Linked DNA regions of Schizosaccharomyces pombe. The protein of the gene in region 2 purifies or fractionates together with the protein of the main gene of each other region. This does not show direct contact. Each region holds a gene or a part of one and is shown on either strand. Other genes may lie near its edges.

Region 1 (7,739 bases), 2.1 Mb from region 2:
TGTTCCATGAATAAAATATTTTAACATTAAAAAGAGCGAATGACTATTTACCCATAAAAACTGATGGATAAAATGCTACAAGACCAAACCAAGCATATTTTATTTATTTTGGAAATAAAACTAGGAAACTGTTTATACAATTAACAAATATAATTCTAATGCTCCTCTGTAGAAGAGGTTCTTTTAGCGTAGTAGCTAAATTTACTCTTTTGATGTTGTGAATAAGACAAGACGATATGATTTCGTTCTCTTTCACATACCAAAGTAAAAGGAGGTAAATTGAGTGTATTAAAACAGTTACGTTCTACACACATCACATTGATATTTTACCTAAATTTTGAAGAAAAACATTTTTTCTGGAATAAACGTTGGTTTAGAAGGTTGAAAAAATGAACACATCAGCTAGATTACTGGCGTTAGTCTCGAAATCAAAAAACAACTGGATTCTTCAACAAGGAGATACAAAACTATTTAAAAGCTTTCGTTTTAAAAACTTCATTGAAGCTTGGGGATTTATGAGCTGTGTCGCATTGCGTGCACAACAGCTAAATCATCATCCCGAATGGACTAATGTATACAATAAAGTGGATATTACGTTGACAACTCACGATACAAAGGGACTTACAGAAAAAGATTTAAAGCTGGCAGAATTTATTGATACACTTGCAAAGGATAACTGAAAGCTGCAACCAAGAGGGTAGTAGCGGAAAACTATCTTGAGACACAGATTGCCAGAAATTATTCTTAATATTTTGAATTAATTTAGTGTTTAGTGATGTGGTGTTTGAAAGGATAAGAATTTATATCATAAACTCATTAATCACCATTCAGCCAACTGGTCAAGTTGTTGAACATGTTTTGTCAGATGCTGCATAATAGCTTGCCTGTATTCTGGAATAGAACTTCTGCTGGAAGCAATTCTGGATATTGCAATTCTACTTGCCCTTTCATTTCTTTCTTGCTCGGCCTCTTCACCACCTATAACATCTCGATAATTCCAAAATTCAATGGCTTTTGAAGCTTCAGGGAGTAGAAGTGGTTTCTTGGCGAGAGGTTTTGGGTTGCCAGACATGGAGAGTCTTTGAAAGACGTTTCCAAAAGTTCGATAACTTTTGGACTGACCAGTACCAGCAAACGGATCCATATGACCTCGAAACGTTTTAATATACAAAAGTAAAAAAAACCCCCGTGAGTACTAAGAGACAATGACTTCAATCATTGATTTGTTCTTCTTTAAAAGAGAACCGTTTAAATATGAAAATTGTAATCTCTTTTGTATTTAAGCAGTAAGTGAAGAGGTTTGGACAAGTGATTAGGAAATTTCACCGATTTTCTTGTTTATTTACTATCTTGTGTGCGTAGTTGAACAAAACTCCTTGCCATCGTTAGAAAGCAATGCTTGTGGTATAAGAATGTGGAGTGTGTTATTAAAATAAAATAGTGAAGTCACCTTTTGTCTCCTAATATCTTAGTGAACTTTAACGTTGATGAACGATTCAATAACTGTAATGCTAAGAAGGATACATTGAGTTTCTCATATTTTTTTTTATTTGAAAAGAATTTTCATTATTATTATTTTTAATGATGCACCTAGTTATTGCAATCGCTATAGACTTTAAACTTTGTATTGAAAGAATTTGTCAAAATATTGGCAGTTGGTTATCAAAAAAAATAAATGTAAGGTATATGAAAATTAGGATGTTTTCATACTCACGAAAAATCATTTCTGGTAGATAAATCACTTAAATATATCACGATTACTTATTTTTAGTTATTTTACCTTTGAAATGTAAGACTGTATTACTTAAGTTTTTTCTTAGTATAATATGTGAACATACATATTGTCAGCGTACATCCTCATTCACCCTCAAACCTACAACGAAGTATTCTAACATGCTAAGGACTACTAGCCGGACATTTTCTAGGGCTTTGTCTTCTTCTAACTTTAAAATAAATTGTGGAAGAAGGCATTGGTTTAGTGTTTTGACGTTGCTTGAGCATCAGGGAGGGAACTTGTCTCCAGCATCCTTGTCAGCAGTAGAAGCAGCAAAGCGTACCGGTGGGGATGTTTTTGGATTTGTAATCGGTAAGGATTCTTCTCAAATTTCTCAAAAGGTAGCAAAATCGGTGAACGATTTGAAAAAGGTTATCTACGTTGAGAATCCGTCATATGAGCATAACATTCCCGATCAAATAGCCAATGTTCTTTTTGAAAATGTTAAGAAAAATGAAATTAGTCATGTTTTTTCTGCTCATTCAACTGTTGGTAAAGGGGTGATGCCTCGTTTGGCTGCTATGTTTGATGTGATGCAGATTAGTGACATTATTGGTGTGGTTTCTGCTGACACATTCGTTCGTCCGACATACGCGGGAAACGTAAACGTTACTGTGTCTACAAAGGATCCTATTAAAATCGTCACCGTTCGTGCATCTGCATTTGACGCCGCTCCTTCAAGTGGTGAAGGAGCAGCCACTGTTGTTGAAGGTATTGATCCAAAACCAGCTGCTCTACAAGAATGGGTTAGTGAGAATATTATAAAGAATGCTAGGCCTGATTTGTCTTCTGCCGAAAGAGTTGTTGCTGGTGGTCGACCTTTGAAAGACAAAGAGACATTTGAACGCATCCTTACACCTTTGGCTGACAAATTGGGTGCAGCAATTGGTGCTACACGTGTTGCCGTGGATTCTGGCTATGCTGATAATTCTTTACAAATAGGTCAAACTGGAAAAATCATCGCCCCAAAGCTTTATATTGCTGTTGGAATTGATGGTGCTATTCAGCATCTTGCCGGAATCAAAGATAGCAAAGTCATTGCTGCTATAAATCGCGATGAAAATGCTCCTATCTTTCAAACAGCAGATGTGGGAATTGTAGGTGACTTATTTGAAATCGTCCCGGAGCTTACTGAAAAACTTTGAAAATCATGTTGAGGAATGATTCCTTATTTTTCATAATATCACATTTATTTCAAATTTCACATCTTTTTAGAAGTTAATAAAATACACGTTTATTTAACTGGGTACTCGTAATAAATTAAGGAAATTTTTGATGTAATATTTAATTATATACCAGTGAAACAACTCTGAAGTCGTTTTATACATACATTTATGAAGCCACCTCAGCAAAGCTATCGTAGGTTGATTATCAAACATTTCAACGTATGAGAAAGAAAGGGATTTTTTTAGCGGTCTAGATATTTAACCAGAGATAAATGATAGAAACATGGAAAACATAGAATACGCATACACTCTCAGCAATACTTCAATGTCATCACAAAGCAAATCTATTAAAAGAAAATAAAATGCAAAGGCCGATTGATATTGCCAATAATTTTAAATTCTCTGACAAAAATAAGGGTGCGAAAAGAGAATATTTTCATAATATTTAAAACCCACGAGAAGCACCGCGGCCTCTGCCTCTAGTTCCACGGCCACGTCCACGTCCACGACCTCGTACTACCTCTTTCTTCTTTTGTTTTGGCTTTGTGCTATCATCAATTAAAAGGGTATCAAGTGGTAACGAGTCTGGGAGGATGTAGTAGCGTATGTTATTTCCACGAATTGACAGAGTTTCTACAGGCACTGGCTCTCTACCTTTGACAGTCATTTTAACAGCTTTTAAATGGGTATTCATTTGCATATCAACAGAAGTAATCGTTCCGTGAACAATTGTGCCTACGCGATTTGGTAAGTTTGGTTCATTTATTATACGAAAGTAAGGCTTTACGTACCATTTTTTAACTCAATAGAGACAGTTTCATTCGTCAGCTTCATTAAAAAGCTAAACTCGTTAGGAATATGTATAGATTTTTTATCATACTTACCGTACCAACTTCATGGTGTGTGCTTTGGTGTTCCTGGCAACTGCAAAAATCAAGTATTATGTTCGACTAAAACACATCAACAATAGATAAAATCATCAATTTTATGTTAAGATATAATGGATTCTGAAGTTTTACTAGTCCAAAATAGCTTTGTGATATTAATAGGCTGATCTTCATGTGCATTTATTTTTCCAGTATCTGAGAATAAAGTTGAGAAGCTAAGACTTCTTAATACAGATTCGACTGTTGAAAAAGCTTGATACTAATTTTAATAATTAAGTGAAAGCACTCATTAGTCTAAATAAATGGGTTTCGAACCCAATACTCGAATGAGCTTTAAGGCATCAAATTTTAGAGATAAAATTATTATGTATCGCATGTCATTTGTTTTAATCATTTATTTTATACAATTTAAGACATTTTATTCAAATACAAAATTCAAAGCTTTGGCTATTCAATATAAGAAGATTACCAAGTGAATTTTCACGAATTGAATTATTTTTTATTGTCCCGTAAAGCTCGCGCTAAAGCTGAACAGAAACTTTCATAAACATTATAATCATATCCTTCAATCCATTTACACTGCAATTGATTATCTATTACGTTCAGTTCACATTTCATTTGTCCTTCCAGACTAGAAACAGAAGTTTGACTTTTGGATATCCGTCGAGCTTTACGAGACCAAGTGATAGATTTTGTTGATATTTCCAAAACGGATCCTTTTTTAGACCACGGAATTTTGTTATCATCTAAGAATTTCTGTAGAATGTCATCAATTTGAGCACATAATTCTGGGTCTAAAGTCCAATTCTGAAGAACCTTATGGGGGAAATATTTAGAAAGGGAAGTTGAAGAAGGACGTATAAGTTCCTTTGGATCCTTTTGTTAGTATCATGAATTTTAAATATCGTTCGATAGCAGCATACATTGTGTGGACGCATAGCCTGAAATGACCAGCAAATTATCCAGCGCTTAGTCTTTCCAAGTGCGAGTTCGTAAATTCCATAATTTGATATCTTACAGATATAAGTTAAAAAAATTTTAAAGGCTAGTTAGGACTTACATTTTGTTCACGCAATTTATCAACCACAGCAGGTACACTTGATTTTTTGCCAAACATACAGGTATACCATTGAATTCCTTTCCTTTTTTTACTTTCAGTTAAGATTTTATTGGCAAATCCGACTTCACCACCCTCTGTAACCATTTCATGATAAACTCCAGTACAAACACCCGATGGTGGATTTTGCTTAAAATTTATGAAATCTTCCTCATGTTCATAAAATGGGGGATTACACATCACAAAGGTAAATTCTTCCATCCCTTCGGTATCAGGGAGTAAGCAGTCTTGTTTAGAACGAAGCACAATTTTGATCTGGGATTCCATGTTATTTTGAAGAATATTGCTCTTGGCTGTTTCAAAAGAAAATTTGTCAATTTCTAGAGTTTTGAGTAATTAGTAAAAGCCTGTGAAAAATCAAAGCTTACCGGTGCCAACGAAATCATATGAGTACATACGACAGCCTAATAATGGGTATATACAACTAGCGCCGGTACCAATATCCAAACCAATGATTCTTTTTTTATCCTTTTGCCCAGATGTACTTGACAACAGGTCATGAATATATCTTATATAAGTGGCTCTGAAAAGTTGGTTATAAATGATGAATAAACAATGTGTTAATATACCGGTTTGGAACCTTTAAATGAATTAGCATTTATGAGAGAAGGGAAATGTTTGTTTAAAAGAAACATTGGTGATGCTACACATCTCTTACCATTGGACATAGACGATTCTCAGGAAATTCAACACGAAGAGAATAATCCCGATCCAGAATTGCTTTTCCTAACGTACTAATTTATAGGTAAGCAATCGTTTAACATATGTGAGTTTACCAACCGAATAGCATCTTCGTTCCAAAAATCAATGCGACCATTTTTGACGCTACGTTCAATTAGTATATAAATTGGCATTGAGAACGCCCTACAAAGATCTCAAGTCGGGATAATCCCTTGCTAAACTATCGAAATTTATAATATCAGTTTTATCAGTCATATTTTTGAGTACGTAAATTTTTTTTGCTATATCGCCTTTATCGGCGGTTGCTTGGTTAAAAAACGCAAATTTGCTCGTACAAATAACGCTTTCGAATGCCGTATAATTAGTGGTAATATATAGAAAAATATTAAAGGTACATTAGGTGAGCAAAAATAAATACAGCATACACTGAGTCTACTTAGGTAAATGGTACAACATAATCGGTGGCCCTTGAATAGATTTTTCCATTTAACAATAGCGTCTACCCAAAGATTACTGGAAATTATTACTCATAAAGGAAAGAAAAGTAATGAATTTAAATGCTAATGAAGTTAAACTAGATAATGCTTCTTGATTTCTCAATAAGTTAAATTTAAACTCGTAAAGTTAATCCCTCAAGAGGATCGGCTTCTTCGAAGAAACTCAAATAAGAGTCATCAGTGAGAGCCATCATTTCATAAGAAACCGCGGTGTATGAGTTGGGGCATGTAACGTTGGTAGCATAATCGCAACCAGAGCTAGAGCAGTTGAAACGTCCAATTTCGGCAATGCGGTTTGGACGGTTGGAGTAAACAGTAGAATCGTTGGCGACGGAGGAGAGGTTGAAAAGAATGAATTGACCAACACCATTGCTGCCTTCAACAGTGATTGGGAAACCGCTAGTATCGAGATGTAGGTTGAGTTCGCAACTGCCGGAAACTTGAGGAACATCAAATGTGAAAATCGTGTTGGTATGATTGTTTTGCTTCTGAAAGACGACTGGAGAGTAAACATTACCGGAGTTGGAACTGGGGTTAGCAGAATCGATCAAACGAATTCCATGTGGGAAAAGAGGGTAAACAGCTGAGGAAGCTGCTGCGGATGCAGCTTTTGCCGTGGCAGTAGCCGATGCTGTAACAGGAACAACAACACATTTGGTGGTGTAAGCAATTGCCCCACTAGAAGTGCTTGCTTTAGCAGACGATGAAACGCGAGTTGAAGTTGAAGTAGCAGCTGAACTAGAAGAAGAAGAAGAAGAGGATGGAGACACGAAGGCCTCAATAGCAATACCTGCACAATTGGGGTTACCATTTCCGGCTCCGAAGTATACTTGGTAGACCTGATCATTATCACTAGCAGGACAAGCTACCGCAGATTGGGTTCCATTATATAGAAGATTGTATCCAACATTAGTAGCATCACCAGCACTGAACTTAGTGGAAGCTGCATTAGCATCAGATTTGAAAATAGTGGTGCCATTGCTGTCAACCGAAGCGTAAAGATTTCCGACAACCAGTCTTCCGTTACTCATAGAAAAGACAGCACTAGTACTGGTACCATCAGTAGGATCCAGGTAAATAGCGCCAGAGTCTCCTACATAGAAAGGGTGCAAGTGGACATAACTGTTGCCAGAATGAATAGACATTAGGCCAAATTGCTTGTTGTTCAAAGGGTCATCACGCTTATGCAACGGTGAAGCTAATGTGCCCGAGGCAGCGAGCAAAGAGAGCAATGTGGAAGCAATGGGGATTGAAGTAAGCTTCATAACGTAAGTTAAACAAAAATGCAAGAAAGTCAAAGCAAATGAATGTTTTTTTTTTTAATTGAAACTTTTAATAATAACTAAAAAATTGGAGGAATTTCTAGATATTGCAATAAGATTGATCAAACTGAAGAAGATTAATCACTTATTGTCAACCAAAGTAAGAATTCCTTTTTTCGTATCAGATATTTCTTTAAGTGTTACCAACAATTATTTGCCAAGCATCGTGCTTATATTTATAATAATGAACATTATTCTAGAATTTTAGTTCGATAAAATTTAAGAATATTCTATGAAAAAAACCCGGTTCAAATAATCCGCTTTACACGGCGCTTCCGAATGGCAGTAATTATGT
Region 2 (7,729 bases):
TTTCTTTCCCTTTTTTGTTATTAAAAAAATAAATAAACCAAATAATTAAAGATCCGAATGTAATTGAGATATTCGTTAACGTTCACTGCTAATAGATCGTTGCTGATTGCTCCTCTAAATCTAATGCAATAAAACACAACTTGAAATATCGTAAAGAGATGCAATTTCACTCCAATTTGATCCTTGCAAGAGCCTAATTAATTTCTGTCCTAATTTAATGAATTAAACAGAATGCTTATGGTTTCATAAATAATGTAGTTTTTATATGGTTGATGTGGTGGTTTTAATTCACATATCGCTCTTCACTTAACTAACCGAACAATTATATTACGAACTCTAACGTACTACCTTGCCTTAGAAACGACGCCCCCAATACATATTGGTAAATCCTTTAGTAAAGTGAATGAACGATCGATTGCTTCTAATGAGCAAGTCTTTGTTTTTAAGACCTATTATTTGAAGGATACTTTTGTCGAATGGGTACATCTAGGGTCATATGTAATTCATAGAATATATAGATAAATCATAATTTTGTCCTCAACTTTACTATTAACTATGTGGGGAATTGTGGAGAAACACTAATGTTACATTTACTGTCTAAACTGTAAGCGAGAATACTACCTATCTGAATATTGTAATATAAAAACATAGAAACATTACTAAATTTTTAAAAATTTGATCTGTACCACTTGTTTGATTTTATACTTTTTTTTCAATTTATTCTACGGGTAATGCTGTTTTAGGAGTGCGAACTTAAGTAATTGTAATTGGGAGTTTTACCATAGTTCAAAGATTTGTGACACTTTTTATTATTCAGTGCTAAAGACTTGAGTGGTCTTATTAGGCGAATATACAGAAAGAATTTTATTTTCTCTCCATAAACTGCTAACTTCAATCTGGAAGATTTGCTAATATACCAAAGATTAAAGCTTATGTTAATAGACTATGTCGCGACTCTAAAAAGCCAAAACCATATAAATTGAAAATACTACGACATCTTGCTCGTGCTGATAAATTGTTTTAAAACATTTTTTGCACTTGCATTGTAGTGTAAATAGGACATGATTCTCAAAATCATAGACTAAAGAAAACCGCTTTGTTGAATGTTCTTCTTCAGCATACACATAATTCTCTTAAGCCTTTGAAAAATTAGCCTAAGAAATTAAATCCACAGAAAACCTTTATTAGGTAAATAAGTACAGTATTATGTACAGGTTATTACATGACTACAACGCTATTTAAGGCTAGTAAATAGTAGAAGCAAAATTGAAATGATATTTATAGATAAAAAGAAATACACATATGTTTTGGTATAAAAAAGTTTAATCGCATGCGATGCTTGTATATCTATAGATCGCAACTCCGCTTAAGTTTACGGAGCCTTAATATAAATCAGAAAATCGTGAGTAGAACATTGCTTAAAAGCGAAGGTCCCATCCAATTTTAGGACCTAAAATAGGAAGTTGTTCAGCTACGCTTTGAACATCCTTGTCACCACGACCTGAAATGGTGATCACAATATCCTTATCTTTAGGTAACTTTTTAGCAAGCTCCATTCCACCATACACAGCATGAGAAGATTCCAAAGCGGGAATGATACCTTCAAGATGACATAGAGCGCGGAATCCTTCTAAACATTGAGCATCAGTGACAGCGATAAACTCTGCGCGATTGGTATATTTAAGTTCAGATAATTCGGGTCCCACACCTGGATAATCCAATCCAGCAGATATAGAGTGAGTATCTTGAATTTGTCCATCTTCGCGTTGCAGAACATATGTTCGAACTCCATGAAATACACCAACTTTTCCCATAGTCAATGTAGCACTATGTTTGGGGGTATCTACACCATCACCACCAGCTTCACAACCCAACATCATTACACTTTTATCGGCTTTGAAGGGAGAAAACATTCCAATCGAATTGGATCCACCACCAACACAAGCAACAACTGCATCAGGAAGTTTTTTACGCTTCTCTTGCATTTGCGCTTTCGTTTCCTCGCCAATGACACTTTGGAAAGTTTTAACAATGGTAGGGAATGGATGAGGGCCAATTGCAGATCCAATTAAATAATGAGTGGTGTCTATTTGTTCGACCCACGCCTTCAAAGCTTCGTTAACAGCATCACGAAGGGTCTGTGTACCTGAAGTAACCGGAACGACTTCAGCTCCCAAAAGACGGATGCGAAAAACGTTGAGTGCTTGACGACGACAATCTTCTGCACCCATGTAGATAGTACATTTCATACCAAATTTAGCGGCACAGATAGCAGTAGCAACTCCATGCTGACCAGCACCAGTTTCAGCAATGATACGGTTTTTTCCTAAACGTTTGGCAAGAAGAATTTGCCCAATACAGTTGTTAATTTTGTGTGAACCACCATGATTCAAGTCTTCACGCTTCAACCAAATATGGGCACCACCACAATACTCAGTTAAACGCTTAGCATAATCGAGGGCACTTGGACGACCCATATACTCATAATAAGAACGAAATTCTTCCCAAAACTTTTCATCATGCAAAGCCTTATAAAATACACTTTCAAGTTCAACTAAGCACTGGGTTAATGCTTCTGGAACATACATACCACCAAACATGCCATATTTTTGAGGAAGATACATTTCGTTGATAGGTTCGACCACAGCAGCAGGGGGGGCAGTAGCAACAGAACCACCGGATTGAAACTGTTTAGGTACAGGTGCGGATGGGTCTTCTTTAGTAAGATATTTACAATATTCCTCAACCACGGTAGCAGCAGTGCCAGGCTCTGCCTTCAAAATCAAATCGATAATTTTGCTTCCAACTACAACACCATCTGACACGCTGCCAACTTGGTGGAAATGTTCACTGGTGTTAACACCAAAACCAACTGCTAGAGGGGTATCTCCAGCAAATTTACGAACACGCTGACAGAGCTGAGGCAAAGCAGTATTGATTACTCCGGTAGCAGATGATCCTGTACTACCCATACGAGAAACAACGTAAATAAAGGAGTCAGCCACAGAGGCCAAGAGCTCCATACGCCTGTCCGTAGTAGAAGGAGCAACAAGAGGAACGAAACTAACACCTTGCTTTTTACATTCTTCTCTAAAGCCGACAGCCTCCTCTGGAGGAAGGTCAACGATGATGAAACCATTAGCGCCAACCTCCTTTGCCTTTTGAATAGTTTTGGCATCTCCATAACTGAAAATAGGATTGTAGTAACCCATCAAAATTATAGGGATAGTTACACCTGCATCACGAGCGAGCTTTACAGTTTCAAATACTTTTTCTAAAGTAATATTATTCTTCAAAGCAATTTCGTTTCCCTTGCAAATTGTAGGACCATCAGCGACGGCATCAGAAAAAGGAATACCAAGCTCAATTATTCCTGCTCCTCCATTTTGCAAACCTTGCATAATTTTGATAGTTTCATCAACATTAGGAAAACCGCAAGTGACAAATGTCACTAAAACATTTTTGTTTTCTTCTTTTGCTTTGAGAAACGTTTTTTTAATCTGCTCTGTCATTTTTCATGAGTTTTGCGATAGTCAAAAAAATATTGGCGGTGGAACAGAGATTGGAGGGACCGACAGAATAGATCGTTAAGATTTCAAACGAAGATGACCATATTGATAAGTCAAATAATTTTATAGATAACTAAATTAAGTTTCAAAACATTATAAAATCGTTAAGGCCTGCAATTGTGGTGCAGATTGAACCAAATTTCGTAAGTTCATGGGCAAATTACCTTCAGGTGGATGGATGTTAAACTAAAAAGTTAAATTTCGACTTCACCATTAACTTCACTTGAATGTAAGCTGTTTACTACTAATATAAAAGTATATGCCTAGTTGATACTAAATTTTGTTATGAATGAACGGAATCAACCTGAGACATCAATGTCTAGATTAATCAAATGTAAGTAAATGAGAATTGGGGTTGCTGACTTTCATTGTTATTAGAAATATATACAGTTTTTACAGAACGGAAGCTGATTGCACAGACAATTCGCCTGTCGAAAAATAAGAGTATTGGCGTTACATAGCAATCCATCAAAAAAGTTTGTCATATTTTGTTGCATTAAATATCACCTTTTGGTACATTTTTTAGATTTCTCAGAATAATTTTAAAGATCCTGTAACCTCATTGATTACGCTGACAGGCCCAGGACCAATGCCCAAGACTGTAGCAGAACCAGATGCAATCTGGGTGCGACCAGCATCGTGTATAACCCTGGCACATAGCCCTAGAGACATTGCTTGGGCTTGCAGTAATTCCAACGTCTCTTCGGTTTGAGCTTGAAGAGTAATTTTAGCCTGTCCAGCATTTTCCCATATACGTACCAAATCGGGGTCCACCGCAGATGCGATTTTGTAGCAGGCTAAGGCTGCATGCGCACATTGAGCTGCTATTTTTCCTTTGGTCATGCCTAAATCCGTCCTAACGACCAATACCATTTTAGTTTGTCCTTCCGCCAATGCAAGCGCAGCCAAACTGCTGTTTCCTTTCAGCATATCTAAAAGTTCAGTTTCGGACTCGCTGTCTTCATCATTGCTAACAGAAACAGGACTTTCTTTTTCTGGGTTAGATGCTTTGTTGGCATTTTTGGAACTATAACCTCTTGATGCATCTGCTACACTGTATTTGCGTCCGATCATAAACCCCACTACAGCGCCGACAAGTACTGCTGCAGGAAAGGAGGAGATCATGAAATTTACGAAAGGTACTTTCATAACTACTATGAAATTATAATGTCAAAATAATTATGTGTGCGAAACTTAAGAGCTAAGAAACATAATATATACCGGCAACATCATTAAATTGATGTAGTGAAGCGCAACATACTCCTCTCAAAACTATTAATTTGTTTCACAAAATTAATAATGATGCATTCAGAGAAATTAATATTAAATTTCATTAAAAGAACGAAGAAGGATATCTCATATATGTGTTTGAAAAGTTTGACTGACCAGAAGCCAACTCATGGTACTTATTTAAATTTAGGCGTCTCCAATCTTCTATGCGCTTCTCCATTTTAACATGATAACTCGAAGAAAGAATGAGTAATCAAGAGTATACAAAAAATTATGTTTAGCGTTAACATTGAAGTGAGACTTTCTAACATCAATTGTAGCGACGACGCTTAGGGGAACTATCTCTTCCTCCATAGTCTGAAGAGTGAGAGGAGCGAGTAGGACCACGACCAAATCTTGACCCTCCTCCAGAAGATTTTCGAAATCCTCCTCGATAGCCACCACGAAATCCAGAGTCGCCACGAAATCGGGATCCCCGTTCCCGTCGCGGCCTTTCTTTTGTATAATGTCGCCCGCCAAGTCCACCACCTAACTTACGCGGTAGCCATCCTTTTACAGTTCTACCTCTTTCGACATCGACCACTATCCGCCTTCCATTTAGCATCAAACCAGCTGATGCTTTGTAAGCAACTTTTAAATCTCGTTCCCTTTCAAACACAACAAATGCATATCCCATTGATTTTCCTGTAACTTTATTACGAACAACTCGTATGCGCTCGATAGGCCCATATCGAGTAAATTCTCGTTCAATATCGCTTTCCTTGGTATCATAGCTTAACCGAGAAAGAAACATAGTTTTATATGGATCTCCAATGACATGGCGATCGTGATCAGGATCCCATACCTTAATCATGGACCGTAATCTTTCTCGTTGCTGTTTTTGTTTCTCGTCTCTAAGACGCAAACGCTTTTCTTCCAAGCTTTCAGTCGGGTGATATTGTTGATCGTGAGACTGCGCATATTTCAGATATTTTGCTATGCCTGAAACGCGAGGTGTTGAACGTTTCTCAGGAGGCACATCCATAGGAGGCAGATACCTCAATGGGGGACGTGGAGCAAACAATGCAAGTAGAGGAGCCGGTAATTTTTCAGCCATTCTATATGAATTGTTTTTTTTTATTTAGAAGTGTGTGGGTGCAATGCTGTGTAGGGTATATCCCAGTAAAGCGATATTGCCTGTATAATAAGTGCTATGTGGGGGCGTACAGTACAATTTTTTCGCTTATTATTAAAATATGTAAGCAAATTATATAGTCATATTTATTTGACATAAAAGGGAAGCAAATATGTATTTACCCTATGAATAAACCTAGTACACGCATGGGCTGCATCAAAAGGAAACCTCATAATTTTAAAGGACGAAAAGCCTCACCAGCTAATAAAAGTTAGGGAAATCCTTATTTCAACGTTGAATTCATGCATGATTAAAACGACAACAACAGAACATTGAGTAGACCGTTATTCTCAACAAAAAGTGATAGAAAAAAATGAAAAGAGCCACTAGATTAACTCAGTGTTCAACATTAACATCTAAGTCTCATTTAAAGTCAGTAGTCTTGATATTCATTAACAATTTGAATGTAAAACGAAAAATAAACATTAAAGGAATAACTTTAGAAGAGAATACCATATGTGTATTACACAGTCGTTCATTAGTTTCTAATGCAATGCCAATTAGAATAACAAATTAATGAAGACCATTGGAGTTAGAAGACACGACAGATTGTAAATATGACAGAAAATGATCATCAGACCCTTTGAAATCGGATTCCTGGGTATCTTCCTTTTTTTGATCTGCCAAAGGCGAACGTTTTAAAATCTTAACGAAACCAGGACTCATATCAACATGGTTTTTGTTGGTTTCCGAATTCTCCTTCTTCTTTCTATTTTTCAATTTTGATTGCGATAATTCGTTTCGTTTAGGAGGAACCTCAGACTTTTGTTGCGGAGATACTTTTAGTAAATCAAACTGATTAGCGGCTTCTAGTGGCTCATCATTTCTGGGAATACGAAGTGTCTTCTTTAACAAATCAGTGCTTTTGCTGTAGTTTTTGACCTCCAACTCCTTTACCTGACTGGAAGCTTTGCGTTCGTTATTCTGTGATTTATTTTGCAAATCGTTTGCAGGAGTAGGCAATCCAGATTTAAGAAGTGTAAGTAAACTTAACGAATCAGATGTCTTTTTCGGTGTTTCCTCTTTTGTTTCGGTTGCGGATGGATGTAAGAGAGCTTGAAGTAATTGTGCGGAGTGTACAGAATTGGCGTTAGGATTATTACAACTTTCACCATGCAAATTATCTGATATTTCCTCTCCTTGACTATTGTCAGAAAATTTCTTTGTCTCTAATGAATTAGGCGTCAAAAAAAGATTCGCTAATTGAACATTTGCCTCTTTGCTTAACGTAGAAGATGAGGGTGTCGTATCCTGCTGAGAGAGCATACTTAATAACCTTTTTGAATTTGAGTCTCCTTCCGAATTATATGATTGACCTGAGTTATCGGAATTTCGAGCTAAAAACTGAGTCTGAGATTGAAAAGGAGGAAGAGAAGAAATTTGTTGAGTCTGATGACCATTTACATAGGGAGAAGAAGATCCGTATGCTGGTTGCGGAGTTTTGCCTAAACCATAGGAACTAACGGAAGTCGAAGTGGGAGGATAAAAAACTTGATGATAAACAGTACTTGGCGAGGGCAATTCCATTGGAGAAGGCATGTCGCTAGCGGCAAATAAATGCTGAACAGAATTTTGGTCTTTAAGTAAATTTGAATACATACTCTGCTGAAAGTGATTATTCAACACAGGTTTATTAGTTAACATGTTGTTTTGAGAAACAACTCTTGGAAAAGAAGCAGATGGATTTTTTGGATCCAATCCAAGGTAAGCAAAAGGATCGAAACTGTTATTATCATGCGATAAACGAGAATTGCTG
Region 3 (9,103 bases), 2.9 Mb from region 2:
CCGCTAGTTTTCTGCCCGTACGCGGAGGTGAGCTAGCTTTCGTAATGGCTTTTGCTGGTTTTTGAACGTTCACTGCAGGCTTTGGTTTTACAGTTGGTTTTTCATTCACCACTTTTTTTTCCTTTGACTTGGAACTACATATTGATAGTACTTGTCCCATAATTGATTATTTGGCTTTGGCTGATGACTTTGCATGTCACTCACTTCATTTTACGTACGGAAATTCTCGGTAAACAATTTTAAAGAATTCTATGCCGAATTTTAGCAAAGCTTTTTGATTACATTGTTTGTACATGATTAGTTAATGAATAGCCATTTCTTATTTAAACCATTTTTCACATAGTGCTGTTGGTACTGTGTACTTTGTTGGAACCGGATTTAAAACCATTGTTGTACTCATCAATTGTATAATCAGTAAATGCATTCAAGTTCCTACAAAACATTTTATTTATATTTAAACAAAAAAATATCTAATTGTTTTCTTCAAACTACTATGCTAAAACTTTACAAATGAGATGTGTCAAATTACAAACTATTTATAAATAAAATTCGCAAACGTTGAAACTCTTCGACTTTCATTAACATCATAAGAATCTATGCACCGGTTCCAAAATTTTTACCCTTCTATACGTGTATCTCCCTATTCATCGTCTTCTAAATCATCTGCTTCAAACCGATCAGGATCTTTTGGTTCCTGATCTTCGTACCATTGGGTAGCATCGTCAATATAACTAAGTACTCTGCTTACGCTTTCCTCGTTTCCGCTCTCAAGAGGAAGGAAATTGACCATATTAAAGTCATCAATCTAGTCATTAGCAGAAGCTCGAGGAATTATGATTCTGTGACTTACCAGTTGAACAATGCACCGATTAAGTTCGTGAAACTTTGGGTTTGTTGTTTCGTTAATTTCACCTGTGAGCAAGAGTGGATCTGTATTGAGAAACCTTTTTAATTCCGCTTTTGTAATGTTATTGTTGTCTTTGAGTAAATCCATTTTGCTCAATAAGTTAATATGCGGGACTTCCATCATAACCATTGCGCTCATTGCGCTTAAAACACCCGCAAAGAACTTTGTACGGTCAACGAGAAATTGGCTTTCTAACAGGTAGACAGCACAAGGACGAAAGTTTAGGGTTACTTGAAGATGGCGAATTAATGCTGGTAAAATTGGTACGTGAGTATACAATTCAATTTGTCCAGGCATATCGAAAATTAAATAGTCTTCGTCGTAATCGCCAATTTCTTCATTTAACCAATCTAAGTTTTCCATCAAAAATTCGAAACAATAAATTAACCCACCATTAGGGCCGTAGTCCAGCTCTTCCATAACATCATCAATGGATATTAAGTCTCTAATATCAACAGTTGGTTCCCATTCGAAGTTTTCTGCAGCAGGATCTAAATTAACTAAATGGCAAGAACGTCCAACGCTTTTCATATAAGACATTAATGCTCCACAAAACGTACTTTTACCACTGCTGGCAACACCACAAACAAAAGCTGCCACCTTAACCATTTTTCTAAAAAGACTAACGTCTTTTGAAACGTCGTGTTCTTTTATCCTATGCCTTCTTACCTGTGCCCGTATGCACCCTTATAACTCGCCATGCGATGCCCTAAGTATTTTACTGACTTTTAACAACAAATACTTTAACTGTGAATAACACGCTCTGTTTAAATCTTTAAGTCTTGCAGAATTTACGTTAAACGTCACTAAAAACATTCATTTTTTTGAATACCCCCTAATATAAGTACGATGTCAATATAGCTTTTTCTACTTCTTGTATAAAATTAGTTTAATTTCTCTTGATACAGCTTAACTCACTCCATATTTCAACTCAGTCATAAGTTGTTTAGCAACGGCTATAGCATCGCTTGTAAATTAACTCACTTTGAAGTCTGTTATTCTCAAGACCTGTTTACAACAATATAGTAAATGTATTCTAAACTGACCACAGTCTAACGTATCTCTATTATCAATTAGATATTACGTAGTTGATAATACAGTGAAACAACGAGTCCCCCACATATAGACTCGACCACCACACCCGTTTGTAGTGAACAGTGAGTGTAACTCTACACGCTGGCTTAAACCACAACCCCAATTTTAAGGGGAGTTATTCATAAATGTGAAGATGTCTGCACCTCCATGGCAAACTTCAGAGTACGATGAAACTGAGGGATTCACGTCTAATCAGGAAGGGCCGTCAGCAGCTCCTTCCAAGACTGTGGCCTCTGACTGGCATGAAGTGAAGACAGAAGATTCTCGAGTTTATTACTACAACTCAGTAACGCGCAAAAGTGTTTGGGAAAAACCAGAGGAGTTAATGAATGACTTTGAAAAAAAGCTTTCGAAACTAGCTTGGAAAGAATATGCCACCGCTGATGGCAAAAAGTATTGGTATAATGTCAATACCCGTGAATCAGTGTGGGATATTCCTGATGAATATAAAGCTGCCCTTGTTGATGAACCGGAACAGCAAAAAAAGGCTTTGTCGTCTAAAATCAAAAGCAATGACAACAAGCCAGCTGTTCAAAGCATTCAACGGCATGGTCCGGATGTTGCTGCTCCTTCAAGTCAACCAGCTAAAGATCAAAGCCAACAAATTTCACAAGGCAGTCATAAACGAACTATAAACTTTGTTCAACAAAAGGATAAGCGCCAAAAACGTTCTAATGATTATCAGCACGAAAACTATGATACCTATGAAGCCGCAGAGCGCGCTTTCTTTAAATTTTTAGACTCTCATAATGTCAACCCAAGCTGGACTTGGGAGCAGACTGTCCGAGAGCTTTGTGATGCTAAGGGCTATTATGTCATGAAGGATCCTTGGCATCGGAAATGTGCTTTCGATGCGTACATCTTAAACTATTTGACCGATCAAAGTGATGCAGAAAAGAACCGAGTAACTAAGATTAGGAAGGAGTTTATTGAGATGCTAAAAAGTAGTGATAAAATTCATTCTTATACTTTGTGGCGTACTGTGAAGAATGAATTTTCTTCTCATCCTGCTTTTAACGCTACTTCTTCTGAAACTGAACAACAACAACTATTTTTTGAATATAAGCAAAAGCTTTTAGAGGATGAAAAGCAGTTGGAAAAGGATCGCAGAAAGGAAGCATTGGATGATTTTTGTTCGCTTTTGCGAAACATGAATTTCGAGCCTTACACCCGCTGGAGCGTTGCGCAAGCAAAATTTGATCAAGATCCAAGGTATACAAGGAATTCAAATATGAAATATCTTTCTAAATTAGATGCTCTTGTAGCATTTGAAGATCATGTTAAGCATTTGGAACGCGAATATATTCTTGACAAACAAAAGCAGAAGAAAGAAAAGCATCGTATAGAAAGGAAAAATCGTGATGCCTTTCGTGCGCTATTACAAGACTTACGCGTGCAAAAGAAGATTACATTACGCACGAAGTGGAAAGAATTATATCCCATAATCAAGGATGATCCAAGATATCTTAACTTACTAGGGCAATCTGGCTCTACACCATTAGATTTATTTTGGGATACGATCGTTGATTTGGAGAATATGTATCGGGAAAAGCGTAATTTGGTTTTGGACTGTCTTGAAGTATTGCAAATATCTGTGGATGACACATCTAATATTCCTGAAATTATAGCAAGGTTATCAGAAAAGCTTAAAGATCGAGAGGAAAGTGAGGCAGTAACTGAAGACCTTATTGAAGAAGTTGTTAATCGATTACGTGATAAAGCGATCCACAAAAAAGCTGAGGAAAAGCGTGCTGATGAACGACGCATTCGAAGGAAAATTGATAATCTCAGAAGTGCCATTAAATACCTTAAACCTCCAATTTCTGCCGATGCTTCTTACGATGAAATTAGACCTTTAATTTCTATTCTACCGGAATTTGCTGCGCTCCATTCCGAGGAACACAGGATGGCTGCTTTTGACAAATATATAAGACGGCTTCGAGAAAAACGGGAATTGGAAAAGCAATACCAAAACAGAAGAGGTTATTATGATGTCGGTAAAGATGAAAGTTATTTAGCGAATAGTGCCCGACCACATAGCGGATACGAAGATGGAAGGTTGGAATATTCTGCTGACTTAGCGTCAAAAAGTAATAGGAATGAAATTAATACGATGCAGGATGTACAGGAAAATTCAATCTCTCATGTTACCGCTACACAACCGGCTGTTAAAAATATTGTTGATGATGCAGAATCTAGTGAAGAAGGTGAAATTCGTTAGTATTCAAGTTAGAAATTTAATTGTTAGTGCGTTTAATACACATGCATTTTAATGTTCTCTCAACTCGCTTTTTGTATTCATACAGTTTGATTACCTTTAGTAGCGGATACAGCCTGTAGCTATTTGAACCTCTACCACCAGTACCTCAAAAATTGTTTTTGTAACAAAACTAGCAAGTTGCTATTAAAATAGCAAAATACTGCTATAAGCGTTCTATTTAATAACGCGTAAGTAAATTTTTATTAAATTTTGTTGCAGCCACAGTTCGTTTTCCGAATTTGACGCTGAATATGTGAATGATCCACGTGTCGCATTTTTTTGTTAAACCTACATTGTTCAATGCACTGAATGTAGCTCTCTTTTTTTAAAAACCTTCTTTCTTATTATGTTTTGCTTGTTTCTCTTGTGATACAATCTTTTTGGTGGCATTCGACCTTTTATTCAAAATTGCTCTTTCTTCGAAAATGAACGATATAGTGCTTCCTATCGAAAAGATACGGGAGTTAATATGTGTTCTTTATTTAAATCTGTTCGGATCTCGTCTAAATATAGTCGTTAGTCAAGAGTTATAAATATTCACATTTAAAGTGGCATCTGGCAGTTCTCAGTTAACTAGAAGTTGGATGGAAGCCTATTACATATTTCACAATTATTCAGCATTTCAATTTCGGAAAAGTTTTGCAATAAGAAATTTGCGAAATTGGTTCTAACTTCTGTTTTAGTTGATATGAGTACAAGTGCTATAGCACTTGCTTTGTCATCATCTAAGGCTATTGAGCAGCTGGATCACGTTCAAACTGAAACCCCTAATCTTAAGCAGGAAATGTCCGAATCCCCTTCGAATAGCGGCGTAGCCTCCAAGCGCAAATTACAATCTACTGAATGGCTCGACCCAGAGCTTTACGGTCTTCGACGTTCTGTATGTCTCACATTATTTTATTCATTATGAAACTTACTTAGATGCTAATCATTATAGGGTCGCACTCGTAGTAATCCAGGAAGATATGTAGACACTGATGATCAAGAAGATGTGTTCCCATCCAAGCATCGTAAAGGTACTAGAAATGGTTCATCTTTTTCTCGTCATCGAACAATTCGCGATTTAGACGATGAAGCTGAATCTGTCACCTCTGAGGAAAGTGAGTCAGATGATAGTTCTTATGGCGGAACTCCCAAAAAGCGATCTCGGCAAAAAAAATCAAACACCTACGTTCAAGATGAAATTCGATTTTCTTCTAGAAATAGTAAAGGTGTTAACTATAACGAAGACGCGTATTTTGAATCGTTTGAAGAAGAAGAGGAAGAAGAGATGTATGAGTACGCAACTGAAGTTTCTGAAGAACCTGAAGATACACGAGCTATAGATGTCGTTTTAGATCATAGACTTATTGAAGGACACGATGGCTCTACACCTTCTGAAGATTATGAGTTTTTAATTAAATGGGTTAATTTTTCTCATCTTCATTGTACATGGGAACCTTACAATAACATTTCTATGATCAGAGGATCTAAAAAGGTCGACAATCACATTAAGCAAGTCATACTTCTTGATCGAGAAATTCGAGAAGATCCGACCACTACGCGTGAAGACATTGAAGCAATGGATATTGAAAAAGAGAGAAAGCGTGAAAATTACGAGGAATATAAGCAGGTAGACAGAATTGTTGCCAAACACTTAAACTCCGATGGCTCAGTTGAATACTTAGTGAAATGGAAGCAGCTGTTATATGATTTTTGCACATGGGAAGCTTCCTCAATTATTGAGCCTATTGCTGCCACGGAAATTCAGGCATTTCAAGAAAGAGAAGAAAGTGCTCTTAGTCCATCAAGAGGTACAAACTATGGTAATTCGCGTCCTAAGTATCGAAAACTGGAGCAACAGCCTTCGTATATAACCGGTGGTGAGCTTCGTGACTTTCAGCTTACAGGCGTCAACTGGATGGCATATCTTTGGCATAAAAATGAAAATGGGATTTTGGCCGATGAAATGGGTCTCGGTAAGACAGTCCAAACTGTGGCTTTTCTTTCATATCTTGCACATTCTTTAAGACAGCATGGACCTTTTCTTGTAGTTGTTCCACTTTCTACAGTTCCTGCCTGGCAAGAGACATTAGCTCTTTGGGCTTCTGATATGAATTGTATAAGTTACCTTGGAAATACCACCTCAAGGCAAGTAATAAGGGATTACGAATTTTATGTTGATGGAACTCAGAAAATAAAGTTCAACTTGCTTCTAACTACTTATGAGTATGTACTCAAAGATCGCTCGGTGCTTAGTAATATAAAATGGCAATATATGGCAATTGACGAAGCTCATCGATTAAAAAACAGTGAATCGTCACTTTATGAAGCACTTTCTCAGTTCAAGAACTCAAATCGATTACTTATAACTGGAACACCATTACAAAATAATATTCGTGAGCTTGCGGCTTTGGTAGACTTCCTGATGCCAGGAAAGTTTGAGATTCGTGAGGAAATTAATTTAGAAGCACCAGATGAGGAGCAGGAAGCTTATATTAGAAGTTTACAGGAGCATTTACAACCCTACATTTTACGAAGATTAAAGAAAGACGTTGAGAAATCTCTTCCTTCTAAGTCTGAACGTATCCTTCGTGTTGAGCTTTCTGACTTACAAATGTACTGGTACAAAAATATTTTAACTCGCAATTACCGTGTCCTTACTCAAAGCATAAGTTCGGGAAGTCAAATATCTTTACTAAACATAGTTGTGGAGTTGAAAAAGGCAAGTAATCATCCTTACTTATTTGACGGAGTAGAAGAGTCATGGATGCAAAAAATAAACTCTCAAGGAAGACGAGATGAAGTCTTAAAAGGTTTAATTATGAACAGCGGGAAAATGGTGTTACTTGACAAACTTCTATCACGTCTTCGTCGAGACGGCCACCGCGTTTTAATTTTTAGTCAAATGGTTCGTATGCTTGACATTCTTGGTGATTATCTTTCTTTGAGGGGATATCCACATCAGAGACTGGATGGCACTGTCCCTGCTGCTGTACGAAGAACTTCAATAGATCATTTTAATGCACCAAACAGCCCAGATTTTGTGTTTTTATTATCCACACGAGCTGGAGGATTAGGTATTAATTTAATGACTGCTGATACAGTTATTATTTTTGATTCCGATTGGAACCCTCAAGCTGATTTACAAGCTATGGCACGTGCGCATCGCATTGGTCAGAAAAATCATGTTATGGTATACAGGCTTCTTTCCAAAGATACGATTGAAGAAGATGTCTTGGAACGTGCACGTCGTAAAATGATTCTTGAATATGCAATTATTTCATTAGGTGTTACAGACAAGCAAAAGAATTCCAAAAATGATAAATTTTCTGCTGAAGAGCTTAGCGCTATTTTGAAATTTGGAGCTTCTAATATGTTTAAAGCAGAGAATAATCAAAAGAAGCTTGAGGATATGAATTTAGATGAAATTTTGGAACATGCCGAAGATCATGATACTTCCAATGATGTGGGTGGAGCCAGCATGGGTGGTGAAGAGTTTTTGAAACAGTTCGAAGTTACAGACTATAAGGCAGATGTATCTTGGGATGATATTATACCCCTAACTGAACGTGAGAAGTTTGAAGAGGAAGACCGCTTAAGAGAAGAGGAAGAAGCGCTTAAGCAAGAAATTGAGCTTAGTAGTAGACGAGGTAATCGTCCTTATCCTAGCTCTGCGGTGGAATCCCCATCCTACTCTGGAACTTCTGAAAGGAAGAGCAAAAAGCAAATGCTTAAAGATGAGGTTTTACTGGAAAAGGAAATTCGGTTGCTTTATCGTGCTATGATTAGATATGGAAGCCTTGAGCATCGCTACAATGACATTGTTAAATATGCTGATCTTACTACGCAAGATGCTCACGTAATAAAAAAGATTGCAGCTGACTTAGTAACCGCTTCACGCAAGGCTGTATCAGCAGCCGAGAAGGACTTATCTAATGATCAGTCTAATAATAAGTCATCTCGTAAAGCGCTGCTCATTACATTTAAAGGTGTAAAAAATATAAATGCTGAAACATTGGTACAAAGGCTAAATGATCTTGATATTCTTTATGATGCTATGCCAACGTCAGGATATTCTAACTTCCAAATTCCAATGCACGTTAGATCTGTTCACGGCTGGTCCTGTCAGTGGGGACCCCGAGAAGATTCCATGTTGCTTTCTGGAATTTGTAAGCATGGATTTGGAGCTTGGTTAGAAATTCGAGATGATCCAGAACTCAAAATGAAAGACAAGATCTTTTTAGAAGACACAAAACAAACAGACAACTCTGTCCCCAAAGATAAAGAAAATAAAGAGAAAAAGGTACCTTCAGCTGTGCATTTGGTTCGTCGAGGTGAATACCTACTTAGTGCTTTACGTGAGCATCACCAAAATTTTGGCATAAAATCAAGCCCCGCTATTAGTACTAATGGAAAAACTCAACCTAAGAAGCAGACGGCTAATCGCAGACAAAGTGGCAAGCCTAACGTTAAATCTGCGCAAAAAATAGAGAGTGCAACTAGGACACCATCGCCTGCAATTTCAGAATCTCGTAAGAAACCTTCTTCTAAAGACACGAAGATTGAAACACCTAGTAGGGAACAGTCTCGCAGCCAGACAGCTTCACCCGTCAAATCTGAAAAAGACGATGGTAATGTAAGTCTAAATGCTGAACAAAAGGCACGCTGCAAAGAACTGATGTATCCAGTCCGTAAGCATATGAAAAGACTTCGGAAAGATTCTAGTGGGCTTGGACGCGCGGAGTTGGTGAAGTTACTTACTGAGTGTTTGACAACGATTGGAAAGCATATTGAAAAAACTGTCAATGATACACCCTCCGAAGAAAAAGCTACTGTTAGGAAGAATTTATGGATGTTTG
Region 4 (8,458 bases), on a different chromosome or scaffold from region 2:
CTGCTTAAAAGAGGTGCGTTCTCTATCACAAAAACATATATGATTTATTTACAAAAGGGGTAAATCCATATTAACTTTTTACAGTCTGATTACGTTCGTAACGGAAGTTCGTCTGGAATAATCGCTCTTTCAAAGGCAGAAACAGACACCTACTGGAATGCAATACTCAATCATGATTACTATGATTTCCGTCCCATTGCTATAAAAATACTTTTTTCAAAATCCAAATTCATTCCTTTAAAAATTTATTTAGGGGCCAATGCTCCTATTATACAAACTTCTGCACCTCTTGGTAGTTCTCTTGGTGAGTTTCTCAATAAACGCCTTCCCGACTTGTTTCCATCATGTGATAAATTCTTAATAGTTAAACCAGTTATTCATGGTATTACAATTTTTCTTCAGAGCGTTTTAGACGAGCTCAATCGAGATTTCTGTTACATTGATGGGTTTTTACATATTGTTTTAATGAAAGTTTAAAACATTTACGTCTCTTCTCTAGCTCCTTTAGATAATTTGTTATTCATGTACAAATAATTTTAAGATTTGTATACCCATGCAGTCTAGCAATGACTTTACAATGACATTAAGGTGCGTTTGAGTACTCCTTTCCCTAAACAAACTGCTTTTTAAGAAGTAGGAAATGCAACGAGATATAGCATTGATAATTTGACTATGAAAATTTCTTTTTAATGAGAAGTCGTAGATTATGAAGACCCATTGGCAGCAACACCAGATGTTACTGTCTCAACAACACCCTGAAGACGGTAATATTTCTCATATGGAGATTCACCAGACTTGATTTTTGCTTCATTCACAGAAATACCAGGGTGACCGTTAGTGCTTAAAAGCCTAGTACTAACCTGTTTCAAATCTTGTCCTTCATCGAGCTTTTTCCAGTGGGATTCCCGTACACTAAAAGGCCCAAAGACATCTCGATCAATTAATAAGTATTCCTGTAAAACTGAAGGATCGTTGGATTGGTGGCAAAGATATTCCATGTATAGCTTTGTAAGATCCATTATCGTCCTTGGCGGTAACCTTGTTTTATTTCTAATCATTTCCATTACATTAGAGACACGGGCGTGATGTTCAGTATAGTTTTTGCTGTCTGGAAAATATGTAAGCCACAATGTACATTGATGTATAATTGAGTGTAAAACACAAAACAACTACTTACTTAAAGGCTGCTCTAACTCAAACCGAAGAAAAGATATCCAAAAATGACGGCAATCCAATAAAGCTGGTGCATTTTGTAAAAACATATTCCTTGCAAGTTCAATGTCCCCTTCAATTTTCCAAACTAGTTTGATGTCCTCCGTAATTAATACTTCAGTAATGCCTGTATTACATTTTCCTTCATTTATTATACTCCGCAAAACTGCATGTGCGTTGGTTAAATCGTAATTGGGGGCATTTCTTCTTTCTAAACCAACCCATCCTAACACTGCTTCGAGATTTCCAGGAACTATACGTTAATGTTAAATTTTGTAAAAATTACTTACGTTGAGTTAAAATGGACTGGTAGATTGCTTTAGCTGAAGCTATGTTGCCTTGGGATTCCTCAAAAAGAGCATATTGCACTCGGATTCCTGGTCTCGATATTGAAGCAAAAATGCAAGATGCACGTTCATAAATTATAGAAACATCGTTAAGATGGTCAGGTTGGGCTGACATCCACCTTGCATATCTGAACCAAAATTCATCATAAAGTGCACAAGTAATTAAACATCTCTCATACAAATGACATATTCTCTGAAAATCTCCCTCCACTTCTTCAAAGTCCAAATATTTTCTCCAATTAACTAGTTGTGCTTCATCGAGTTCTTTAACATGAAAGTAAGGACGTTTAATTTCCGATTCGAACGTCCATCGTTTAGCAGTTTCGAGTTGAACTTTTTGAAAAATTTGCAAATGGATATTATATATGCGAGCTCTCATCTCTCTTTCAATTTCGAGTTCACCGCGTTCAACGGTAATTTGTTTTGATCCAGCAGAAACAACTTTAGCGGGTTCACGAGTTACATCAGCTCTGATAGATGCCAATACGTCAGGAGGTAATAATTGCTGTATTGGTTGACTCTGTGAAACTTGAACGAATCTACGACGTTAGCCTTTGAGCTTAAATTGAATTTGATCACAAAATTAATTGAGACAATTACGAATGTTAATGGTAATTTGTCCGTACCTTTCAAAATAACGAGCGTATTGATGTAGGGGAATGTGTATAAGACGCTCTAATAATTGAAATACATTATCTGGACGCTCCTGACGCTCCTCAAATTCCAGATATTTATCCCAAAATGGATGTGACAGAAAATCCAATCCAACCATGTTCGCACCTTGCATGAATAGCCTGATGAGTTAGTATTTGTCACGTGAAATAAGGGTTTATTCTTACTCCCGAACTTCATTTGCATCACCATTGGTTTCCATTTTAAAAGCGCAATAGTTTGTCCACAAATCAACAGAGTGTGGAATACCAGCAATTCCTCGTTCGTAGATCTATTTTTTTATTAGAAAAATAACAAATCGCATAATACTTGTGTACATACATGCTCTGATGCTTCAGCACCTGCCACAAAAAACTCAAAATCTGCATACTTCTTCCAATAACCAAACAATAGCGGATATTTTCCCAAGAATCGATCGTACACACTTCTTAATGTATTGATAGCCTGTTTCGAAGAGTTTCTGCCAACACCTCCCTCAAGATGTTCTGAAGCACGAACCAGTCCTTCCCTAAATCATAATTAGCACTAAATAAGTTGTATCTGACAACATCCTACCAAGCATCAAAATCATCTGGATTTTTATTTATTTGACGATTATATTTATCCCATTCTGTTTCCTCTGCAATGTAAATATCCCCATAATCCATTTTGGTTCGCAAGTATAAAAGCGCGTAAGGATAAAATGTAAATATCGAACAGCAACGAAATATACTTTCTTCAGCCGTATTCGGTTGAACTTAAATAAATTACAATATTAGTTTAGTGCAGTACATTAGTCTGCCGAATCGTATCATACAGAATAATACGACACTGCCCGCAACGCTGATTTAAAAATTAATAACTAATAAAGTACATTTGGGCGATACACAAGCGTAAAATGATTATTGTTCTGTAACAGACTTACTAATATAATGAAAATTCAACTACAAATCACTGTATAAACATGACTCACTTCAACATTTACAAATATTTATTAACATTGGAAATACTTAGCTACTAAGCAACGAATCAACAAAAACTTAATTAGGTATAAAAAATATTATTTCCTATAATGAACACAAAAACACAAAAATGGACAAAGAATGCACATGTATCTAATATTATATGCAAACGAACATAATCTCAAAAAACTAGATTTAAGATGCACAGTAACTTAACAAATTATCAATCCAAACTTAGCTAATAATATAATATATAGACCCAACGAATCGGAACAACAAATTTTGGATCTAGCTGCCTCACACAATTCATAAATCATACAAAGACGTTTAGCTATTGCCTTATGCGTAATCTTCCTCATGGGAAGAGTATTGTGGAGATGAGTCAGTGTTTGAAGCACGCTCAACATACTCAACAGACTCACCACGGGCACCGCCCTTTCTGGATTTCTCTTTCTCAACTTTCTTTTGCTCAGAATAGTTAAGCTTAAAGTTACCAGATTCCCAGGGCTTGATGACAGACATATACAACTCATTAATTTCTTCCAAAGTAAGACCTTTAGTCTCTTTAGCAAACAAGAAAATAACAATTGCACCGGTCAAATTACAAGAAGCAAAAACGTAACCGTACTTGAATCCAATAGAAGCTTGAATGAATGGAGTAAAGAATGAAATTAGGAAATTCCAGAGCCAGTTGCTAGCAGTAGCGACGGCAGCACACTTAGAGCGGTAACGAACAGGGTATGACTCACCAACAATAACGTATGCGGCAGGAGCCCAAGTTTGAGCAAATCCAAAAATGAAAAGACATGCCATGACAATCATAACGGCACCAGCACGGGTATTTGAAGTACCGTTCTTATGATATAAAGCACGAGAACCGACAGCTGAATAAATGAAAAAGCAAATTGACTGCCAAATACCACCAATGATAAGAGGGTTACGACGACCAAACCTTTCCAATACATACATACCACCAAAAGTGCAGCCAAAATTAACTGCATCAAGAATCATAGCAGATAGGTAAGGAGAATTAATACCAGCTCCTTGCATAACTGAGAAACCATAGTAGAAGAAATAGTTGTTACCGGTCAATTGTTGAAGCGACATAACAAACATACCAAGGAAAGTACGATAACGAATGTCTTTACCGAAAATGCTTGCCCAGCTGCAAGGGCCACCAGCAAATTCTTCGTCAATAGATGATTTGAGACGGTGATATTCATTTTGAACTTCCTCACTATCAGGAAAAAGCTCAGCACTTTCAGAAAGAACTCTAACAGCCTCTTCATCCTTGCCAACTTGAATAAGATAACGAGGGGATTCGGGAAGGAAGAGAATTCCAATCATGGTAATGATACCCCAAAGGAGATTAATACCAATTGAAACACGCCACTGGGCAGTTTTATGAAGTTTGTGAGTACCCATATTGATACAAGCGGCAATGAAAATTCCACCAGTGACAAACAACTGATAAGTGACGACGACGGTACCACGAATACTGGGAGGAGCAGTCTCTGATTGATATCCAGGAGCCAAGACAGAAAGAGCGCCAATACCAATACCAGTCCAAATCTTGGCAACCATGATTTGTACCCAAGAGGGAACAGCGGTAACTTGAACGATGATACCAATGATATAAACAGCACAAAAACCAATGATAGAAAGTCTCTTACCAAAACGATCGGCAATGGGAGAAGAAATGATACATCCAAACAAGGAACCAACGTTAACCATACCAGTTAAAAGACCTTGACGAGCCGAAGACAAAGAATACTGGTCGGTGATCGGGTCATATCTATCAGCATAACGCTCACGAAAATCGCGCATACTAGTAACACCACCAATGGAACCGGTATCAGCACCAAACATCCAACCGGCCATGGAGACGAAAATTAACATAACAAGGGTAAAATTCTTTCCACGCTTGAACCCCATTTTGATAAAGTATAAAGGAATCTAATAAAGATGAAAAAAAACAAAAATTCTATAGAAAGGATGTAAGTGGAAAATAAAAGATTGAATAAAATTAACCACACGTCTATTTCAGTTGCAACACGTTAAGCAGAAATGATAGAACAAAGAACAGACAGTTTATGAGTTAGAGATCTTGACAAGAGATTCTCAATAAATAAAAATTAAAAGAAAAATTAATCTAGATTATGATTTTCAAGCACAGAGAGCTTGTATTTTCAAAATCGGTATAAAGAAAGGGTAACCAAGGAAAGCACAATGCTTTTATTGAGCTTTCTTTGGATTTCGTTCTTGTTTAACCAAAAAAAGAAAGGATTTTTAGGTAAATGAAGACTAAAGTTGCTCTTGCACTTAAAAAGCAAGAATAGGTCTAGGTAAAGATTTTAACAGTCAAGAGGGCAGCTTTTATACTAAATTCGGGAAGAGAAACCCCGACAAAAGTATCAAAAGTCCTTTGCTTTCAGTGAAATTTTAGACAGGATCGCCGGAGAGTTTTTGGTTATACGTCACAATATTACAAGGGCAACAAGGTAGTTAGCAAACTCTTGTATCATTGGACGCCGACTTAAAAAAACGCAGTCACACACAAATAAGAACGAATAAGATGTGGAATAGAATTTAAACGACGTGTATGACGAGGATCAACAGCTCGTTGAAAGTCAAGAACGAGGTAAAAATGTCACGATATCATTAATTCTCCATAGCAAAAAAAAAAATTCAATCGTAAAATGATACACTGTACGTAATGAAACTGATGCATATACTGGGGAAAGACACTATTAGTGAGGTAGAAAGCCGATAACAGGATGAAAAAACGACTTTCAATAAATGTGATGTAGGAATAATTCTCAAAAGTAAAGTAAATTTAAATACTTTGGCGACCGAGGCTGCAAGTTCGGACTGCTAGCAAATACAGAGTGTATTCCAACGTCAATAATTTTAGCAAAGTAACCGAAAAAACCAAGTATATTTCTATACTCCTCATATCGTTAAATCAAGATTGAACACAAAAAAACGTTTCCTGAGGCAAAAGAAGTAAAGTGTCTGCAGTAAAATTAATTCGCAAGGCGAAAAAATAATACCAATGGTGGCCATACGTATTGGAACCAGCAAATATCAAAGTTTAAAACACAGCATACTCTCATCGCTGCATGACTATCTCAAAGCTGGCAATAGAACAATTAACGTTACGGAACCATAATCCTTCAAATTTCGATTGCTTGCATTCTCGAGCTCCACATATTCGAGTCCATAACGGAACTAACCTAAATGCGGAGTTCCTCTAGTATTAACTAGTAACATGAATAGAGCATAGCCGTGCTCTTTTTTTTTAAGAAAACGTCACGCAACGTGTATCTTATCTCTGTCCTATCCAAGTCAGGATAGCTAGGGGCCCCCAACCTGGAGACCATACATCGACCGCGACACCAACCATCCTAGCGAGACTCCCTAACAAGAAGGTAAATATGGATGGACAATGAACCTTTTCAAAAAAAAACAGAATTCTCAAGCGATATATTCGCTCTTGAACAGTTCGGTGTAAAAGGATACTTCTATCCCTTGATTACGTGTACGCCCATACTTCATTCGGACTATAGAAGAAATATGGAGCTGTAACCCGTACTGCAATTGTCTGTGTTAAGAAAATGTAAACGCTGCACACTAAATCATCACTAATTCATCGCTAACTAACGTAGTCCCTAAAAAGTTATGAACTTGGTAAACGACTTTTGAGGCCTTGGGACCTCCTTAAATACGCCCAACTCATTACTAACAAGGTTTGCTATGTCCGTGAAAAGCGCCTATTGTACATATATTGCTCCCATATATGTGAAGCTTTTGCCCAATCATTGTAAGACAGGGTCTTGCTATATTTCCCTACCCCGCTCCATTCTTCCCAAGTCTGAGAAAAACTGTGGAGAAGCCTACCAATTTTGCCTAAGGGGATTTTGATCCCGCCTCTGCAATCTATTGGACGATAATAGCTATAACTACATTTGATTGGATGAAAGACATGTGATGAATGCTGGATGGTTTTGTTGTTTTTAAATGACCACCGATAATTTTTTTAGTTAGTACGCATACATTGATGAAAGCTGAAAAATTATAATAGGGTGAATAAATGAAATTCTTTTTGTGTCTTTTACTCTAATATCGTCTGGCAATTTTCTATTTTCGTACTTCGATAGCGCCATACATGTCTTGTCACCCGTTTTTACGAGCTAGGCTTAGAAATATCTTGGAATTTTTTTTCAGACATGTTGATGATTGGCTGATACTTTTTCCAGTTCTGCCTCCTCCACAATTTGCATCCGCGTTTTCCAGAGACGTTGGGGCAATAACTTTGTCTAACATTAAATTGAAATTACAAGGGTAAGTATTTGAATCAAGACTAACCTTTATACGTTGAATGTCTTCGATATTGTAGAGAATGCCTTGAAAAAAAAATTTTATTTGTGTTAATACAATCTAATATTGTGGAATAAAAAATGGTTTGTGACTGCTCTTCTGTTCTCGGCTGTTGTATTTCTTAATAGGACGGCTCGTAAAATTCGTTATTTGCGCGTCCAGTACACCATCGATTCCCATATTATCCACAGTTTACAAATAACAATATTTATATCATTTTCTTTACTTTGGGTAAACGCTCTCTTTCAGTAACTAAATCAATTGTTGTTTATAAAATTTTTATTCTTTTGTTTGCGCGTTCAAAATTTGTCTGCACGGTAAATCATTAACGCATAAACTCGGTTCTTTTACCTAGGTATCTCGTAAATTATATAAGGATTTGTACCATATTGTAACAAAATACAAGGCAAACTGAATTATTGTACAGATTATCGTATTCACTATTCAAGCATTCGTAACTTTTTCTGCAACTGAAAACAAGATTAATGAGCAACAACATGGTCAAACATAGCGATGCGTTATCGTGTTAAAACTACGTCCATTTATTGAAGTTCTTCCTTTCGCGATCTTTAACTTGGATAAGGAGTGTTTCTCTCCATTTGATATTTGGTACATTAGAGTACTGTATTTTGAAAACAAGCGCTTTTAGAATACATCCAACGAAATATTAATGCTGGCTATAATTTACATTTTGAAATTGAATGTAAAGTCAACCATTACGAGCCATATTTACTAAAACAAGGTGGTACCTGAAAGACTACTTCTTTTGGTAATTAGCTGGAATTTAATGCCATAAGCTGGATTGTCTTCCAATTTTTAAATACTCGTGTTTTTTGATTCATCATAACATTAGTGCCGAAATTCACTGTGAATATCTTTTTATATTTAACATCCAATGGATCCTCA

The links.
Region 1: the proteins of usp101 (region 2) and smd1 purify together in Schizosaccharomyces pombe (co-purification; one study listed by BioGRID). This does not show direct contact.
Region 3: the proteins of usp101 (region 2) and prp40 purify together in Schizosaccharomyces pombe (co-purification; one study listed by BioGRID). This does not show direct contact.
Region 4: the proteins of usp101 (region 2) and prp39 purify together in Schizosaccharomyces pombe (co-purification; one study listed by BioGRID). This does not show direct contact.

The regions. Positions count from the first base shown.
Region 1 is NC_003424.3:4,517,153-4,524,891, forward strand, and holds smd1 (Sm snRNP core protein Smd1), read right to left. Parts: upstream 3,863-7,739; 5' UTR 3,839-3,862; coding exon 3,825-3,838; exon of another isoform or gene 3,782-3,824; coding exon 3,732-3,781; exon of another isoform or gene 3,676-3,731; coding exon 3,386-3,675; 3' UTR 3,035-3,385; downstream 1-3,034. Other genes in the region: omt2 (4-alpha-hydroxytetrahydrobiopterin dehydratase), read left to right, coding at 390-680; anaphase-promoting complex subunit Apc14, read right to left, coding at 821-1,144; etf1 (electron transfer flavoprotein alpha subunit), read left to right, coding at 1,894-2,919; methyltransferase Mtl16, read right to left, coding at 4,320-4,694, 4,751-4,840, 4,888-5,264, 5,313-5,467, 5,514-5,524, 5,603-5,678, 5,725-5,798; SPOM_SPAC27D7.09C (But2 family protein ), read right to left, coding at 6,236-7,387. UniProt on the Schizosaccharomyces pombe protein: Plays a role in pre-mRNA splicing as a core component of the spliceosomal U1, U2, U4 and U5 small nuclear ribonucleoproteins (snRNPs), the building blocks of the spliceosome.
Region 2 is NC_003424.3:2,456,240-2,463,968, forward strand, and holds usp101 (U1 snRNP-associated protein Usp101), read right to left. Parts: upstream 5,944-7,729; 5' UTR 5,896-5,943; coding exon 5,110-5,895; 3' UTR 4,912-5,109; downstream 1-4,911. Other genes in the region: trp2 (tryptophan synthase), read right to left, coding at 1,419-3,512; pth2 (aminoacyl-tRNA hydrolase), read right to left, coding at 4,101-4,718; mRNA-decapping complex catalytic subunit Dcp2, read right to left, coding at 6,487-7,729. UniProt on the Schizosaccharomyces pombe protein: Involved in nuclear mRNA splicing. Essential for growth.
Region 3 is NC_003424.3:5,373,477-5,382,579, forward strand, and holds prp40 (U1 snRNP-associated protein Prp40), read left to right. Parts: upstream 1-2,090; 5' UTR 2,091-2,135; coding exon 2,136-4,223; 3' UTR 4,224-4,286; downstream 4,287-9,103. Other genes in the region: protein new13, read right to left, coding at 1-160; GTPase Fet5, read right to left, coding at 641-805, 851-1,516; CHD family chromatin remodeller Hrp3, read left to right, coding at 4,951-5,142, 5,200-9,103.
Region 4 is NC_003423.3:3,424,221-3,432,678, reverse strand, and holds prp39 (U1 snRNP-associated protein Prp39), read right to left. Parts: upstream 2,911-8,458; 5' UTR 2,879-2,910; coding exon 2,787-2,878; exon of another isoform or gene 2,740-2,786; coding exon 2,553-2,739; exon of another isoform or gene 2,503-2,552; coding exon 2,399-2,502; exon of another isoform or gene 2,354-2,398; coding exon 2,186-2,353; exon of another isoform or gene 2,155-2,185; intron 2,099-2,154; coding exon 1,503-2,098; intron 1,466-1,502; coding exon 1,178-1,465; intron 1,109-1,177; coding exon 705-1,108; 3' UTR 501-704; downstream 1-500. Other genes in the region: autophagy-associated protein Atg5, read left to right, coding at 1-13, 85-477; plasma membrane glucose/fructose:proton symporter Ght2, read right to left, coding at 3,512-5,107; U1 snRNP-associated protein Usp102, read left to right, coding at 8,448-8,458. UniProt on the Schizosaccharomyces pombe protein: Function prior to stable branch point recognition by the U1 snRNP particle to facilitate or stabilize the U1 snRNP/5'-splice site interaction. Has a direct role in the assembly or function of a catalytically active spliceosome.